2 linked regions of the Arabidopsis thaliana genome follow. The protein of the gene in region 2 interacts with the protein of the main gene of each other region in a pairwise test. Each region holds a gene or a part of one and is shown on either strand. Other genes may lie near its edges.

The links.
Region 1: the proteins of FIB (region 2) and ABI2 interact in binary tests that used the Arabidopsis thaliana proteins (3 or more experiments, as listed by UniProt).

Annotation. Positions count from the first base shown.
Region 1 is NC_003076.8:23,084,984-23,090,207, reverse strand, and holds ABI2 (Protein phosphatase 2C family protein), read right to left. Parts: upstream 3,087-5,224; 5' UTR 2,489-3,086; coding exon 1,976-2,488; intron 1,894-1,975; coding exon 1,597-1,893; intron 1,451-1,596; coding exon 1,345-1,450; coding exon of another isoform or gene 1,322-1,344; exon of another isoform or gene 1,261-1,321; coding exon 905-1,260; 3' UTR 580-904; downstream 1-579. Other genes in the region: AT5G57040 (Lactoylglutathione lyase / glyoxalase I family protein), read left to right, coding at 5,092-5,142. UniProt on the Arabidopsis thaliana protein: Repressor of the abscisic acid (ABA) signaling pathway that regulates numerous ABA responses, such as stomatal closure, osmotic water permeability of the plasma membrane (Pos), high light stress, response to glucose, seed germination and inhibition of vegetative growth.
Region 2 is NC_003075.7:1,929,806-1,934,670, forward strand, and holds FIB (fibrillin), read left to right. Parts: upstream 1-2,077; 5' UTR 2,078-2,355; coding exon 2,356-2,801; intron 2,802-3,143; coding exon 3,144-3,339; intron 3,340-3,426; coding exon 3,427-3,741; 3' UTR 3,742-4,145; downstream 4,146-4,865. Other genes in the region: AT4G04025 (transcription repressor), read right to left, coding at 4,204-4,218, 4,289-4,804. UniProt on the Arabidopsis thaliana protein: Probably involved in light/cold stress-related jasmonate (JA) biosynthesis. Contributes to the protection of photosystem II (PSII) against light stress.

The sequences.
Region 1 (5,224 bases), on a different chromosome or scaffold from region 2:
AAAAATCGTGTCGTCTCCTCTTTTTCTTCTTCAGTGTTCAACTTCGTCGGCGCTTTAAATGCGTATAAAGCTGAAGAAGAAGAAATTGAAACTCTTGAGAAAGTAAAAAACACTCTTTTACTAACCAACGCTTACTTCTTTCCTTTTTTATGAAATAAGAATAATAAAACAATGTTATTCGAAGAGATTAAATTTTTCACAAGACTAATTTTATTTATATTCTTTCACATTTAAATATGATATTTACCTTTTTGTGTAATTGTTGAATAATGTTGATGTGATAAAAAGATGATTTTTCTTGGGGATAAAAGCTGCCTTACACACCACTTTACAATTAACTTGTGATATAAGTATGTATTATTTTGTCTTCAATCACCTACAATCTAAACATTCACATGGATTTACAAATTATTGTGACGTTTATTCAACCATCCCATATTCTGGTTGGTTTAGTAGATTTAAACAAAATGAAAAAATTATGGTGATGAAGACTAATGTAATTTTTGGTAATGAAAAAATGATGTCAATACTATTGAAACTATATCACTCTAACGAAAACACACACACAAAGAGAAGTTATGAAACATCAAATAATAACACTAAATATTTACGTAGACGAATGTAGTGTTATTACAACTAACCCCAAGATAAAAAAAAATACAAGGGGGCTTTTTGTTTGGAAGTTACACTATTCCCATGTACATTATATATATCATGTTAGTAAAATAAATATAAAAAGATTAAATAATGGTGGGAAGACTAAGAAAGTAAATAACAAATTTAAGCAGGAAATTAATATTACAATGTAATTATTACCTGTTGTTTTATCTTTCTTTTTTCACTAAAGAGAATTTTTACCCACCATCAAAACTTTTTTTTTCACTTTTCTTCCAAACCTTCTTTTTCAATTCAAGGATTTGCTCTTGAATTTCCTTATTCCCTTCAAATCAACCACTACCACACTTATATTGTCTTTGCTTCCTTTTTGCAAAGCCATCTTCGACAAATACTCTGCCGCGGACATTGCTGCAGGATCTTTTCCTTCTCCTCTTTTCTCCGCCGGAAGCAAAGCCTCTCCGGCCATCGCGTTCTTCTTATGCCATAGTAAAATCCGTTTCCGAGCCAAATCGCACACTTCTTCGTTTGTCATTACATCCCAAAGACCATCACTTGCTAAGATGAGACAATCATCTTCTTTTACTCGCCGCACTGAAGTCACTTCTGGATCCGGAATTACTGACGGTTTAAGGTATCTATCGCCTGTTCGCGACGGGTTGTAATGTAAGGAAACAACTAAAAGAACCAAATTCATGGATCATTATCAAGAGAAAGTTAAATAATTACCAATGGATCTTGACATTGCGAGAACACCAAATACACGAGCCCCGTTCCACCGGATTACTTTCCCACCGGCAGCTTCTATCCTCGCCGCTTCATCATCCCTATCCGGCTACACATAAATGTAGACCCAAACGCTATAAGTACATTAACTAATCTATAGAAACATGCTATGATTGGTAACACCATAACAAAAAACCGCAAGTCCTAATGAATATATGATTGTACTAATTCATTCATAGAAACATCTATACTTACTTTGTGATCAACCGACAACGCGAGTGGCGTTTTGCCGCGACACAAAACCGCCCTAGAGTCGCCGCAATTCGCGACAAAGATGTGAGTCGGAAAGACAACCGCAACCACCGAGGTAGACCCAACAGTTTCCGGAGCATGAGCCACAGTTTCAATCTCCGAGTCAACTCTCATAAAAGAGTTGAACAAAGCCTTCTTCCACTTCTCTTGCCACGTGTCACCGTCACAAAACTCCGGTTTCTCCTTCACTATCTCCTCCGTCAAAGCCAGATGCATCCTCTCACGACAATAATTCGCTACCTAAACACACAAAAACAAATGTCAAAAACCAAGTTTTTGCAGTTTCCGATCATATCATATCGAAACCAAATCGATTCATTACCTGAGAACCGCCATGGCCATCGTAAACACCAAAGAAATGAGCACTCAAGTGAGGATTAAATCCATTAGTGACTCGACCATCAAGCAACGAACTAGAAGAAACTTGAAGGAATCTAGGAATCGTTGAGACAGAATCTTCCATCTCTGGTCGTCTACCACAAATCGAAGTCACTCCATATAAAGGAACACACTTGAACTCAAACAGACTTCTACTCTCTGTTCTACTAAGTACTTTCTTCTCACTCTGATTCATCGATCTCGGATCAAACTCATCTGAACCGTTGATTTCATCTCCGGCGGAGATATCCACACCTGCCATAGCAGATGATGATGATGTCAATGAATCTTGTCTTGTATTGATCTCAAAGGAAGAATCTTTCATAGCTCCGTCGCCAGAACAAGAACTTTCCGGTAAAGTAACCCTAGATTCACCGTTGCAATAGCCTCTAAGTCCGGCGTGAGGGTCAGTGAATGGTCTGAATGGAACAGCGACTGCAGGAGAAACTTCGTCCATTAAAGGAGGAAAAAAAAAGAAAAAAGAACTTTCTTGAACTTTAACAAAAACCCAAATCAGGAATCAAAGTTGGGAAGAGAAAGGAGAGAAATTGAAGTTGGATATCTAAGTATTCAAAGAGACAGATGTTAGATTGTTAAAACGCTTGGGTGTAAGAGAAAAGAACGAAAAGTCAGACAGATTTGAACATAATAAAAATTGATGAGAGTGTTGTTAACTTTATTAGATGAAGATGAAGACAAGAAACTCATGACTCATTAGAGGAAAGTGAAGACAACCTTAGCTAGCACATGAAACAGATAGAGAGAGATTTGTCAATTAAAGAACCAAACACACACAAAAAAGAAAAAGCAAACGTTTTCCCGAGGAAAAAAGGACTAAAATCAGAGTTTCCTGGATTCTGGGCAATTCGTTTCAGCCATTTAGAGATTCTGAACTCTCTCTCTCCCTCAATTAATTTCCAACCAAAAAAACTTTTTTTTCTCTTTCTTTCTCACAAACAAATAGTTTAGGGGATAATCAGTTTTAAAGAGAGAGGTCTTTATTTATTAAAAAAAATAGCACAATGTGAGATGTTTTAGTGAACAACAAAGTAATTAGAAAGACTTAAGGAATTGTGGAAACAAAAACAAAGGGTATTTATTTTATTTTGACTTGATTAAATTTTATTTCTTATTCTATTTACTATCGTGTCACCCCTCCATTATTATTGGGTATCTTTATAGAAGTTTTGAATACAGATGTTTTATACGTTTCCTATTTTACCAAAATATCTTGCATTAAACGTTATGAAATTAGATTTAAGATAAATCCAAACTTTTTACATAATGAGTAATTTACTTATTTCACATAAAAATAATATCTCTTAGGAATTGCTCTTTTCTTTTGAGCTTTAATCAAAATTGGTCGACAAAAAACGTAATTTACTTATTTTATACAAAAACAAATTTCTTTTATTTTATTTTTTGTTTAGTGTAACATGCCATATGTCACAAAAATATATTTTATAGTAAAAGATGAAAACACCAAAAAATATACAAATTATGATACAATTTTTATTAGTTTAGTAGAAAATATATTCATCTACACTGACCACACTAGTACATTAATGCTACTAATAAAAATGAGGTACTATAATAATTACAAAATTTACTGACTAGAGAGCTTGCTCTGATATTTTTGGTTCTAGAGTTCAAAATAAAATAATGACAATCGGGTGGATACCAAAAACAGAAAGGAGGAGAATCAAACTCGAGAAGGCAAGAAGTGTTGTGTTGTCAACAGATGATTCTTTTTACTTCCAAAACAATATTGAAGAAAAAAACAATATTGAAGAAAAATAAAATCATTTTCGAAATAACAATCAAATGGGTCCCATTATTGTCGGAAAACAGACCGGATGATCGCCACGTAGACAGAGAGAAAGTCATTAGATTTGGTGAAGAGGATGGCGTGTACGGTGAGAGATCTGTTAGTTGGGATGGCGGGAAAAGATGAGCCGAAGAGGTTCATTGCACTGACATAGACAACACCTCTCTTTTAACTTCCGTAAATATCTTTGTGTTTCCTTTTTTATTTGGTGTCTGTTTTATTTATTTACTTGTTTTTAAACAAAAATAATAATACGTGTTCCATAATCATTGGACCATGTAATGATATGTGAAGTGAAAGTAGCTTTGGTTGGGCAACAAATACACTGAACCAATCGTATAGTTATATAACTAAAAACGTATATATGAATTTCTGTTTTTATTTATTTATTTACGATTTCATGAATATTTTTTATTCACTGGATATGAGTCATGTGACCTTGATTTTATTTTTATTTTTGAGATATACGTAGATAGATAGACGCATGCAATTTCTTTAAAGTTAATTCATTTTTTTTAGGATCTCTCGCAGCTGTCAGATAAAGTAAAATATCTTTCGATATAAAATAAAAAACAAAACCAGCTCATATTGTATAGTATACTATGTGTCACATATTTTGAGATGATCAGTTGCTACACGGATCTGTTAAAACTTAAAAGGTAGTATTGAATAAAGTGGCGGTCACATAGAAGTACAACTAATATCTATTTGTTAAATTTTGTCAATATGATATCAAATACAAAATGATAATAAGAAAATTATATAAAATTAGACCATATTCTTAAATTTTTATACATAAAGCTAAAACATCTAAACTTCATTACAAGGTAAGAGAAATTTGACGAATCTGGAAGTTATTACTGAGTTATTTTCGCTCGAAATAGTAAGTTACCAACTTACCATTTTTGTGAAGCTGCAAAAATAGTGAGACGTGAATCACCTATTGGACTGGGCTAGGCCCATCGATTCTCTGATAAACTTTCATTAAATAAACGTTTGACTTTTGCCACCACACCGCATGTTTGATTTTTTGTTGTCGTTGAAACAATTATATTTTTCGAGACAATACGAAATTGATTTTCCCAGTGATTATGTGGCTGAGTGGCTCAGGTTTTGTTTTTCTCCTTAATTTTCTTGGCCAATAAAGAAAATAAAAAACATGAAATCATTACTTTAAAGACAAAAAAAAACTCTTGCTCCTGTGTTGAGAGCCTAATCCAAGATTCTCTTCCATGGCTTCTATTTTCAGACCTTCTTCAGCTTCACTTGATTTACGACCAAAGGTATCAAACAAATAAGCTTCTTTATTCACTCCTAGCGTTAGGTTACTCGATTTCCAGAAATTGTTGTTTAGGGTTCTTACCT
Region 2 (4,865 bases):
TTGTAAACCATGCATACCCTTTTTAAAATCCCTTGTAAATCATTATCTGCCACTAACTTATGCTTCTTAAATAATTGTTAATGAAGTAAACCCCTTTTAAAAGCTTTTAAAATCCCTTGTAAATTATCTATAACACTTACTTATGTTTTAAAAATGATTGTAAACTACGCAAACAGTTATGCAAATGCCTTGTAAATCATTCTACGACAGTTAATTAAGCTTTAAAAACGATTGTAAAACTTTATTACCTGTTGTGAGATAGAACTCTCTCAAGGAGAAACAGATAGGTTGAGAATCAACTCTAAACCAAAGAGTTGATCCTTTTGTTTTCACTCTCTGCTGCATGAGATAGTGAAAGATTTTCCCAGAAAATCTGATTCCCTTCTTAGCCTTCATTTTTGGTCCCAATTCAACTAGAAGACCAAGAAACGAACTTCTAATCTTCTGAAATAAACACTCGCCTAAAGCTTCCTCTACTTTACTAACTAAATTCCAATCCAAGTATTGTTGAACGGTTCCCAGTGCAATAGATTCCTCACCTTCTCTGTAGATCTGTTCAGGCAATGTAAGGATTTCACTCTCTGAATCCATCTGCAAAACATGTTATGAAACATCGTCAGATCTACTATAAAATCGACTATAAAATCGATTATAAAAACGGTTACCGTCGGATCTATCGATATCTCTGGGGATTGTTTGCGTCGTAGAGAAATGATCTGAATCCGTCAGCGAAGAACAGATTTATCGGAGAGGAAATTCGTCAGCGATTTTGGGGTTTCTCGGAGAGAAAATTTGTCGGCGATTTTGAGTGAAATCGGAGAGGAAATTCGTTGGCGATTTTGAGTGAAATCGGAGAGGAAATTCGTCGGCAATTTTGAGTGAAATCGGAGAGGAAATTCGCCGGCGATTTTGAGTGAAATCGGATAGGAAAATTCGTTGGCCAAAACGAAGAAGTTTGTGCCAAAACGAATTGTATTGTGAAACGAATGTGAAACCTAATCATTCAGTAAGGGTAAGACAGTCATTTGCCATATTAGAAAGGGTAGTTTTAAAAATGGCCTTCAGGAAAGGACATTTTTACAAAAGGTTATTAGAATAAGGGCAGTTTTGCAAATCTCCCAATTAAATATTAAAGTATTTTGAATCAATGGCATTTTTGTAATTAATCTAAACCGGAAGGATATTTTTTGGTTTATATTTTATTTCTCTTTCCTATTTACGTAAATAACATATTTTTATGTATAAATTCTTAATATTCTGTTTATCCATGTATATATTTTTAACTCACCCTATAGTTTTCTAAGTAATTTAAGTATTTTGGTTACATTTGGTTATATTTTGGTAAAATATAACTAATATATTTTTGGATAAACTAATCAGGCATCTCGGTTAGATTTAGGTATAGATGAGTAAAAAACTCGAACTCGACCTGAACCCAAAAATATTTTGAGTATTTTTGATTATTTTTCAATTCTTACTAAAATAACTAAATCGATCCAAACTCAAACCAAAACCGAACCAAAATTTTAGAATACATGAATGGTTTTTAACTTCATACCTAAATAGATCCGATACTCAAAAAAAAAAAGAACCGAACAGATATGAGTACCCGAATATCTACACCTGCCCAGTATTATTATTATTATTTTTTTTGAACAAACACCGGTACTATTATTTTACCAGCTAATTTTTCTCCCTTTAAGAACGTTTTGGACCTATTGGTCTATTGGATACAAAACTATTGTATTCATTTTAAATTTTTAATGGGTCTTCTTTGTTAATAAAGGCCCATTAAATATACTATCCAGGCCCATTTAGTCCAACTACTTATTACACTGTTGATTAATCGCCGTTTAGATATTTTGCATTGGAGAGAATCTTCACCGTTCAGAAAACTGAAGATCGAAGATCACCAAAACCGGCCAAAAAGTATAGTACACGTCCGAAGATTCTAGATCCATCATGCCATTTGCATTGCATGGCCTAACTCTCGTAGAAAACCCAAACAAATTCTCCCCCACACAAATAATGGGACAAAAACCAAATTAAACCAAATTGTTTCCCTATTGAAGAAAATAAAATCTTCCACAAATTTTATGAATTTTTCATAAAGTCGGCAACTTCACACGAGTCCAGGTCGATTCTTAAAACAATGATCTTTAACCATCCACGTGTCAAAATCCCACCTTAGCTTACCTCATTTGTTCTATTCCAAATACCTATTCTATCCCTTGGATCTTGACTTATATGTTCATAAGAAAGTGTACCAGATAAGGGTATATACGTCATTTACAGTCCAGCTCAACGGTTATAAAATCCTAATTCGTGAGGTTTCTCTGAAGAACAAACACAAAAATGGCGACGGTACCATTGTTCACCCAGTTTCCCTGCAAAACCCTAAATCCAAGCTCATCAAACACTAAACACCAATCGAAATCTCCGATCCTACTACCGATTAACTCAATAAATCGGCGATCGGAGATTGGAGTCTCTGTTCATCGGCCAGATTTCAAAATCCGAGCGACGGACATCGACGACGAATGGGGTCAAGATGGAGTGGAGAGAGTATTTGCCTCATCTTCAACCGTATCGGTAGCAGATAAAGCAATCGAATCCGTGGAGGAGACGGAGAGGCTAAAGAGATCACTAGCGGATTCGTTGTACGGAACAGATCGAGGTTTAAGCGTATCGAGTGATACGAGAGCTGAGATCAGCGAGCTCATCACACAGCTCGAGTCTAAGAACCCTACTCCAGCTCCTAACGAAGCTCTGTTTCTCCTCAACGGCAAATGGATCCTCGCGTAAGTACTTTTAGTTCTGATACTCTCCTAGGCACGGCATGTAATATTAGTTTTGTCCCAAACATTACTCAAACCGGTGATCTCTAAGCTTCGTCTAGGATCTTTACCAATTAAGTTAATGATACTTTAAACTTACCGGTGGAAGTTTAATTTCCCGGTGAAAACTGTTTAGTTCCGTTATGAATGATTTGATTTTGATAGTGAAAAGCAAGTTGTGGTTACAAAGAAGATTTAATTATGAATTTGGATTATGATTCTGTGTGTAGTTATGAGCCTTCGTTTATTTTTAGCCGTTATTGTTATGAATCAAGAACTTAGTTTTTAAGTGTTTATCTCGTGAAGCTACACGTCGTTCGTGGGGTTGTTCCCATTGCTCTCACGAAGAATTGAACCGTTGGTTAAAGTGGATGAGATCTCACAAACCATTGATTCCGATAGCTTCACCGTTCAAAACTCTGTCCGGTTCGCTGGTCCGTTTTCCACAACGTCGTTTAGCACCAACGCTAAGTTTGAAATCCGAAGTCCTAAACGTGTCCAGGTAAATCAAGAATCATCCCCTAAAACCACAAATGGCAAATGCTAATGTTACATAACCTAATTGTTTTTTTTGTTTTGTTTGTTGTAGATTAAGTTCGAGCAAGGTGTTATAGGGACTCCTCAGCTAACGGATTCGATTGAAATACCGGAATCCGTGGAGGTTCTTGGTCAGAAAATCGATCTCAATCCCATTAAAGGTTTACTTACATCAGTCCAAGACACTGCTTCTTCAGTGGCTAGAACCATTTCAAACCAACCACCATTGAAGTTTTCTCTGCCTAGTGACAACACGCAGTCGTGGCTGCTCACAACTTATCTCGACAAGGACCTTCGGATCTCGAGAGGCGATGGTGGAAGCGTCTATGTGCTCATCAAAGAAGGAAGCTCTCTCTTAAACCCTTAAATCATCATAACTCTCATCACATCCATAGTAACATATATACAAGTATAGACCCATCTGTCTATGTTTACTAGTGTTGTAACTGTTATATAGCTTCTTTACCTGTTGGAGAGTTATAAACTTATAATGGATGTTACTCTTGGTATACTGTACTACAATACATATACATAACTACATACTTGAACAGGCCAGTTATGGGTTTGCAACAGCAACACTTAGCATTGGTTCAAATTTGGTATACTAGGAGGGTTTGCATTCTGTATGGCATTCGGTTTTCCGGTTTAGTTTCAGTTCGAACTTTTGACTCGGATTGGATCAGGTTGTCAGCATTTTGGTCTGGTTTGAGTTTACAAAGGGGATACCAAATTGAAACCAAAATTTGTATCTAGTTCTGTAATTTTAATTTCAGTTATTTTTGGTTTATGAATGGTGGTAAATCTATTTATTACTTAGAAAACCGGTTTGTTACAAACCAGGTATCTTACACAAACATTTGAAAGAAACAACTGATCTTTGTTCACTCTTAGCTACGAAACAAATCAGCACAAACCTCGTAAAAGATCTCGAGAATGGCAGACCGATATTCGCGAGGATTCATCGATAGATAGTACTCCAAGAGGCTTCTAAGTTCATCTGCTTCTTTGATCTTGTTTGCTACAATCATCTCAACCATAGAGTCTCTAAAATCCTTTCTTGGATCAAAAGAACATTTCTCCATCGCCATCATGACAATGAACTTAGTGCTACTGATACTACCCTCACTTCTTCTTCTTCTTCTTCTCATCTTTTGTTGTCTTATCTTCTCTTGATGTGTGGCTTCTTGTGTCTCTCTGATCATCTGCTCTAGCTTCTCCTGAACCATGTAGTGTGCTAGACTAGAGAGCGAACCGTGATGGTCTGAAAATCTTGAACTCTTGTCTGCTTCCACCGAGGAAGAAGAAGAAATGCTGAGTCTTGCTTTGTTGCTGCAACACAAAGCTCTGCAGACTCTTGCTTCTTTTGTTTGGTGTTGTGATTGTTTGTTATGCTTCTCTGCTTTTTCTTCTGCTCTGTTTATGAGTTTCATGTTGAAAGTTAAGTCACATTATAATCAGGTTTTGAGGATTTTAGATGTTTGTAAACGCAAA